Linked DNA regions of Sus scrofa. The protein of the gene in region 2 binds, or shares a complex with, the protein of the main gene of each other region. Links are inferred from orthologs where the notes say so. Each region holds a gene or a part of one and is shown on either strand. Other genes may lie near its edges. The genes, in order: CEP63 and CEP152.

What was found.
Region 1: the proteins of CEP152 (region 2) and CEP63 are in contact, whole or in part, in a crystal structure (PDB 6CSU), measured with the Homo sapiens proteins. The link is inferred for Sus scrofa from reciprocal best matches to the Homo sapiens genes CEP152 and CEP63. Residues at the interface, in NP_001181927.1 of Homo sapiens: Gly1261, Ala1262, Glu1265, Leu1266, Gln1269, Tyr1270, Lys1272, Ala1273, Lys1276, Ile1277, Asp1280, Met1281, Tyr1284, Glu1287, Ser1288, Arg1291, Ala1292, Met1295, Ala1298, Arg1302; in NP_001340037.1 of Homo sapiens: Phe666, Glu669, Glu670, Arg673, Ile677, Arg680, Leu681, His684, Glu687, Leu688, Glu691, Ser692, Thr695, Phe699.

The regions. Positions count from the first base shown.
Region 1 is NC_010455.5:75,699,990-75,703,806, reverse strand, and holds part of CEP63 (centrosomal protein of 63 kDa), read right to left. Parts: intron 528-3,817; coding exon 337-527; intron 1-336. UniProt on the Homo sapiens protein: Required for normal spindle assembly.
Region 2 is NC_010443.5:122,874,781-122,879,180, reverse strand, and holds the start of CEP152 (centrosomal protein of 152 kDa), read right to left. Parts: upstream 3,036-4,400; 5' UTR 2,777-3,035; intron 2,718-2,776; exon of another isoform or gene 2,339-2,717; intron 1-2,338. UniProt on the Homo sapiens protein: Necessary for centrosome duplication; the function also seems to involve CEP63, CDK5RAP2 and WDR62 through a stepwise assembled complex at the centrosome that recruits CDK2 required for centriole duplication.

The DNA.
Region 1 (3,817 bases), on a different chromosome or scaffold from region 2:
GACCAAAAATACAAAAGAAGCTGTTTATAAAAAGTCAACTTCTACTTCTTATAGGACTAGTGGGGTTGGAGAGGTGGGAGGGGCATGAAAAGGCTCGGGGGAAAGGCTGCTGTTTATACCTACATCCAGAGAGTCTAAAACCGAGGCTTGAATGAAAGTGCTATGTAACTCCCTGCATTTTTTTACCTAATAGTAGCTTTACTTGTGCACAATGTACTTCAGAATTAAGTAGAGAGTCTTGTGATGAAGATTTAATTTCCATAAATCGGAAAATATTCTCAAAGAAATGAGAATTATAAAGATACACATTTTAAATAAACCATGAAGAAATTTTACTTGAACACAGGTATTCTGCTATGTGTTGGTTTAAAGATCCTGTCATGGTTTTTTTTGCACATCTGAGTAGAAATCTCCAGCTGGGATTTGGTATCCATCAAATCTTTCTGTAGTTGTTGATTTTCAGACACTAATTTATTTAATGCCTCAATATAATTCTCCTGGAGGTCTGCTAGTGAAATCTCTTTTGCCTAATAAAAAAAGAATACTGGAGTCACTTCATTTGTATAAGAATACTTGTGATCTGTGATACTGATAGCAGAAAATAACATTTTTTTAGCTGTAACTACTCAATCTATGACTTTCTGTAGGAAAACGTGAAGGTTTGGTTTTGGCCCCCTAAAAGAGAAAAAGCATTCTGTTTCTTATAGTAAATGGGGGTAGAAAATGAGGAGCACAGTGGGCCACCCTGATGTGCCAAGGAATATCGAAGGAGCTAGAGAAGGCTGGGAGTATGACTGAAGAAAGGTATAAATGAGAATCAAAAATAGGGGAAAAGAAAGAAAATAGTAGCCAGGGATTCTCCTTCAAGAAAGAGAAGGTTGAGCTTAGTGAAATAAGTCAAACAGAGAAATACAAAGACTTATGTTATCATTTACGTTATCGCATATATATCTATATATCTCACATTTATTTCAAAAATAAAACAAATAAATGAACAGAAACAGACTCAGAGATACAGAGAACAAAATAGTGGTTACCAATGGGGAGTGGAAAGGAAAGGGGCAAGATAGGAGCAGGGGAAAAAGAGACACAAAAAGTATAAAATAAATAAGCTACAAAGGTATATTACTGTACAGCACAGGGAATAGGGCCATTATTTTATGACTTTAAACAGTATAATCTATAAAAATGCTGAATCAGTATGTTGTATGTACACTTTAATATTGTAATTATATATATACAACTATAATTTTTTAAAAAGCTACTAATTAAAAAAAGAGAGAGAGAAGGTTAAATAGTCCCAGAATACCTGTGGAAAAAAATCGAGAGATCTATTTCAAAGAAAGAAATTTGAACATAAGGTTCTGAACAGCAATTCTGGCTGGCAGGGACAAATTTTAAATAAATTATTCTCTGGTCTTATAGATGTTTACATAATATTGGCACCTATTCTGGCATATGAAATAAATTTGGATATGATAAAGCAGTATTCAAGGGTAACGCAGAAATTACTACTGCAATCTGGTCAAAGTTCTATGATTATAAATTTTATTCCTCTTCAATTCTAGGTGTTTTCTGGTAATATAGTACCTGAAAAAACAGGAGTCTAGATGGACCATTGTTTTCTTTCTTTTTTTTTTTCTTTTTGTCTTTTTGCCATTTCTTGGGCCACTCCTGCGGCATGTGGAGGTTCCCGGGCTAGGGGTCGAATCGGAGCTGTAGCTGCCAGCCTACGCCAGAGCCACAGCAACGCAGGATCCGAGCCGCGTCTGCGACCTACACCACAGCTCACGGCAACGCCGGAACCTTGACCCACTGAGCAAGGGCAGGGATCGAACCCGCAACCTCATGGTTCCTAGTCGGATTCGTTAACCACTGCGCCGCGACGGGAACTCCTGGACCATTGTTTTCTAATGATAAAATATTTTCATTAGCATTCTGAAAATTTATGGTTTTTTTTTTTTTTTTTCTTTTTTTGCTTTTTAGGGCTACACTGGCAGCATATGGAAGTTCCCAGGCGAGGGGTAAAATTGGAGCTGTAGCTGCTGGCCTATACCACAGCAACTCAGGATCCAACCACATCTGCAAACCTACACCACAGCTTGTGGCAATTCCAGATCCTCAACCCACTGAGTGAGACCAGGGATCAAATCCACATCCTCATGGATACTAGTTGAGTTCATTACCACCAAGCCACAATGGGAACTCCTATGATTATCTTCTTTGGAATTTTATAGGATGTTTAGCTTGGTCTTTTCTATAAAGAATTTTCTGAAAGTAAGCTGCTCCACAGTGCTTTGACAAACAGAATGTACCTAATGAAAACATAAATCTTAAAATACAACTTTTTAACTACCTATACCACTAGTGACAATAAGTTACGAAATCTTTTAATAAGTTGCTGATGACAGATAAAATCTCAAAGGAAATTTGCAGGACATAGGAGTTAAATTATAAACTACAGTCAATTTTTTTAATATGGTAAATAATCAGAGCTATTGTTTTCATTAGGATAATTAGATAATTTTATTAAAACAGTTATTTAGCCAAAATATTAATTTGTAAAAGTAATTCCCACCTTCCTAGATGGTCAAATGCAAAAAGGCACTTTCTTTTTTTTTTTTTTTTTTTAATTTTTGTTGTTGTTGTTGTTGTTGTTGCTATTTCTTGGGCCGCTCCCGCGGCATATGGAGGTTCCCAGGCTAGGGGTCCAATCGGAGCTGTAGCCGCCGGCCTATGCCAGAGCCACAGCAGCGCAGGATCCGAGCCGCGTCTGCAACCTACACCACAGCTCACGGCAACGCCGGATTGTTAACCCACTGAGCAAGGGCAGGGACCGAACCCGCAACCTCATGGTTCCTAGTCGGATTCGTTAACCACTGCGCCACGACGGGAACTCCCAAAAAAAAAAGGCACTTTCTAATAATTGTTCTTAATACATATACCATGTTTACATGGTATGTATCTTCAACACCAGAGAAAGTTTAAACCGCTGATGGTATTTCGCACCAGAGTAATGTCTGATGTCATTAAACGTACATTTTAAGAGAAGATAATGTTTGCCTTTGCCAGGCAGGCATCTTTTAAACATTTCTCAAATATATTATTTTATTAACAACAACTACAGTTAAATGAATGTGAAAGGTAATAAGAAAGGCGCATAGCAAGCACATACCTGGCTGTGTCAAGAAAGGATAGTATTAGCACCGTTAGACAGAAGTTTCAGAATAAACTAAAGTGAACAGAATCTCTGGTCATAGCTGGCTTAAGCACTCTCAGAGTTCCCAACTCTCAAATATGAACAGGTAATCACTGTGTTCACACATTGCCAAATGCTGAGCCTTTTGAAGATTCTGTGCAAATCAGGTTGGTTCTTGGTTTTCTCCACCACTTTAGCTTAGTACTGGCCTTATCAGTGCATATAAAGTCATTTTCCTTCCCTCCATTGTTCTTTCCTTCCCTCCTTCTATCCATCCACCCACCCATCTTCCCCCCTTACAGAATGTTTAGCTATTGTCTCCTCTCCCACTTTTCCCATCCTTATAGGTTTGTGCTTTAAAAAAAAAAAAAAAAAAAAAAAAATCCTTTCATTATAGGAGGGATTTGGGGAGGGAACATGATTAGTTGCATATGCTCATCTGCCATCTTAAATGATGGCATAATATTTCCTAGTATAGAAAGTCACAATTAACCATCCCTCTATAGATTAACATTTTGGTTTTTTTCCAAAATTTTGGTTATTGCAAACAACACTGAAATAACCATTTTTGTGCATTTGCTCCTACAGGATGGGTTCTTTGGGAATGCAAACTGATAC
Region 2 (4,400 bases):
ATTGTCAAAATAATAATAATGAGAAAAATATTTGCAAAACACAAGAGAAAGTTTCAACATACAATTCTCACAGATAAATGAGAAAAAGACAAATAATCCAATTTTAAATGGGCAGATGATACGACATAAGTGCTCCATGAACTTGAAAAGATGCTTAAGCTCAGGAAGAACTCAAGGTGTCATTTAAACAATGAAATATGATTTTCAACAGCTAAACTGAAAAAAAAAAAAAAACCCTTGATAATACTGAGTGGTGGCTATTTTATAGGAAACAGGCATCCATATGAAATGCTGATAAAAAGTACAAACTGGAAAACCATCTTGAAAACTATCAATATTAATACACTGAAAAAGAACATTTGCTCTAGTAAAAGTACTTTTGAATAAATTTGACAGTACTATGTCACTAACAAAAATAACAAAATATTTCTATATATAGACTGATTATTAAAAAATCAAGATGTGGAATAAGTGCACAGTGTAGTGCTTTTTTTTAATAGTAAGCTGGTTATCACTGTCTTTCTAGATAACTTTTTCTCAACCTAACAAGACTATGTTCTGACATATGTCCCACTCAGATGGGTGGAACTCAGTATCAGTCAGTACTCATTTTGTTGGCCCTGGTTAAGTTTTCTTTGCCCTCGTTGCAATAAGAAAGAAGACCAATCGGTGTTGAACTGAACAAAACATTAAAAAGCAAAAGTAGCATTGTTTTTGCCTCATCTAATGGAGTATAAGCACTTTGGAGGCAGAATTAAAATGTATCGAACCCACCTTTTACAAATGGTAGGCATCAAACCCACCCTTTACACATGGTAGGCACACAACAGATATTTAATGAATGAATATAATACATTTGCATTGGTCTATACAGATTTATTAAATTTTACTGAGCACCTACTGCATGCCAGGTTATGTCCTAGATATATCTAAGACATGGTACCAGCCATGGGGAGCTTACAGTTTCTTAGGGAAACAATGATATAAATTGTTACAATGATACCTTGAAATAAATTCTATAATACAGAAAAGTACACAGCACAAATAATCTATGCCTAAAAAGAAAAGAAGTTTCACAGAAGGAAAGATTTTAGAAATAGATCTTCAAGGACACAATACAACAGAAAGTGGTTAAGAATGAGGGCACTCATTGAGACAGCCTGGGCTCAATTCTGGCTCTCCTGTTTATCAGCTGTGCTAAACTGCACAAACTGTTTCCATTTCTTCATTAATTAAGTGGGGGGCAGAAACAGTACCTACCTCAAAGATTGGTCATGAGGATTCACAAGATTAATGTATATAAGTGTTTCACACTGTACCAATCAATACATTTTTGTTTTGTTATTATTATGACCTCCTTACTGATGAATAGAGGTCTGCCAGCTATAAAAACGGTTCAAGGAACGAGTAACATTCAGTACACCTGGAAAAAGATGACTGTGCAGCCTCTGGGAAATCTTCCTTCAAATAATGCAACATCTTCTGGGATGAAAATACCACTGCCTTCAACAAGCCCTCCCAATCCTGTTCCCTCGTGAAATTAATCACTCTTTGGCACTTTCAGGCTTTTTTTTTTTTTTTTCCTTTTCTTCTTTTTTAGGGCCGCACCCCGCTGCGTATGGAGGTCCCCAGAATAGGGGACCAAATGGAGCTGTAGCCGCGGGCCTACAGCACAGCAACGCTGGATTCCAGCCGCGTCTGAGACCTACACCACAGCTCACAGCAACACTGGATTCTTAACCTACTGAGCCAGGGATTGAACCCGCGTCCTCATGGATACTAGTCGGGTTTTGTTAACCACTGAGCCACGACAGGAACTCCAGGCTGTATTTCTTACACTTTTCTTATGGCTCCAATTTCAACTTCTCATTTAGTTGAGTATATTCACGTCTAAGCAGTGGATACAAATTGTTACACATTGTGAAGTAGATGGCAAAATTCAGCTTAAATAGACTCAAATTCGCGACCATAAAATAGAAAAGGTTAAGTGCCACAAAGGGGGCCTTGAGAGTTAGGAAATTCTACTTACTTGATTACATACTAGCTTCCTTTCTAGAATGAAAACAGCCAGAGCACACTAGCCTGATGTTTCAGACTTGGAATAGCAGGCTTAGGAGGCATCTATTTATTCATTCCACAATTATTTGCCAAGCACTGTTCAAGATCACAAAGTTCAACAGGGCTTGGCGGAGGGAAAGAAAACAGATGTATATAAAAATGATGACAATAATCTGATCAGTGCTAATGAGAGCATTTCGGACAAATATACTCAGGGTGCCCAGAGGATGCAGCGGGTAGGCACCCACAAGCTGAACGAAGAATAAACCAATGACCTTACCAAAGAACTCCTTTTGGCGTCAACCACGGTAAAAACAGATACCGAGAAAACGAAACTGCAAGACCCCAGGGTGCATCCTGGGGCTGCTGACTTGGGCTGCCGGCGTCACAGGCACTCGGTCAACACACGTGTACAGAGCACCCACTGTGAGCCAGGCACAGCGCCAGACGAACCACGGCGGGGGTCCCCAGGGTAGAGTCTCAGGGCTACTCTAGCGGCGTAGAGGAGGCAAGGAGGGCTTCTAAGACGTCACTTCTAAGTAGGATCTTGGGGTCTGGATGACACTTCAGAGACTGAGTCCCGCCACCCCGAGCAGTACACCACTGCAGTATTTGGGGAGGGGGCGGGTTAATCCACCCAGAAGCCCCAGCCAGAATCCCAAGGACTCCGCACCTCCTCCTACCCCTGCCGCAAGCCCATCCCCGAAGCGAAACTCACCGGAGGCCACAGATGCTGTCAACGTAGAGTCACCTTAGCTCTGGTGGAAGACCAGCCTCTAGCAAACCCCTCGCCCTGGCTCTAATCCGCTAGCTTCTTCCTAGTCACAACCGAACACTGGAGGCCTGAAGCCATTGAAGAGCAGCCTCCCCCTTCAATCGCCGGGTAGTAGCTGGCCTAGTAGGGGGGGCCATGGCGGCTGGGGGCAGGGCGAGGGGGCGGAAGTCTCCTCCTTTCTCAAGCTAGGTTGAGAAGTCCGCCTGCAGTTGCAAATACTATACGGCTGTTTAAAAGCGGGCGCCAGAGGTGGCGGGAAGTTCCTCCTGTGCGTCCATTGGTGGACTTGTGAGCCAATTACAAAAGGGTTCACTGCAGAGGGGGCGGGTTTATCGGTTGCATAGAGACGCCCTAGCACCTGGCCTCCTGCCTGTGAACTGGTCTTACCCAACCCCACCTGGTGCAATGCTCCTGCCCTCCGCGCTCCCCACTCCTAAATATCAGTTCTCAAGAGCGGTACACAGAATCCTTCGCTTCCCCCACCGAATCCACCTTGGAGGTTTTTGTATCTATCCTTCAGATTCTCTAAATTGCCTTAACAGCCTTAGAGGTTGTTTCACTTTGTCTTCTTGCTTACTAGATCCCACCTTGTTTGAATTTGTGTTTCTTTAATTACTGATGGGATGACACGTGTTTATTGACTACTTGAATTTCCTAGAGTGTGAATGTTCCTGTCACTCAGGTATATGTTAACCTGACCTTTAAGACAATGCTCTCCAGTCCGGAATAAATCCCATTACGGTATCTACCTTCCTGGGATAAAAGGGTCTCAGAAGAGCTCCTGCTGTAGTGCAATGGGATCGGCAGCATCTTGGGAACTCTGGGAGGCAGGTTCCATCCTTAGCCCGGCACAGTGGGTTAAAGGAACTGGCATTGCCGCAGCTGCAGCTTAGTAATTCGTGGCTCGGCTCGAAATTGATCCCTATCGCCGTGGGCGGCTGGGGGGTGGGAAGCGGGAGGTGGGGGAGGCGAGCGGGAGATGGGGACGCGGGCGGGGGGTTTTCCCAGAGACGCTCATGGAGTTGGTAGCAGTAAGTTCACACTAGTTTTAATTCTTTCCCATATACACTAGTATAGAGTAAAATAGTTGTTAAAAGTTGTCCATAGTCTGGCTCGTTTTCCTTTGCTACCTCACCATTCCACTTTTGGATACCAACACGAACCACTGCAACCCCATCAACTAAGCATAAGGGCCTGGCACATAAAATGCACTCAGTCCATAGCACTAGATGAATGAAACCTCTGGCCTGGCTCCCTGAGGTTCTCAGAATGCTTTTGGTTTGCTCAAACTCTATCTTTCACCTACAGTGCCCCTACTTAACTTCCCCAGCTACTCAGTCTCCAAGATAGATGAGCACATCCCCTGAAGTCTTTGATGACACATACCTCCCAACCTTGGTAGAAATGATCCTTCTCCCCTCTGGATATGGTGTATTCATCTCATTATAATCCTCATTATCTACTATAATTAGTTGCTGTGTAATCTTTCACTCAGTCCAGCGTCAATATCTTGAGACACTTACTTTGCTTCTTGGACACTTCATGGCCCCTGGAAGGCACTAAAAAC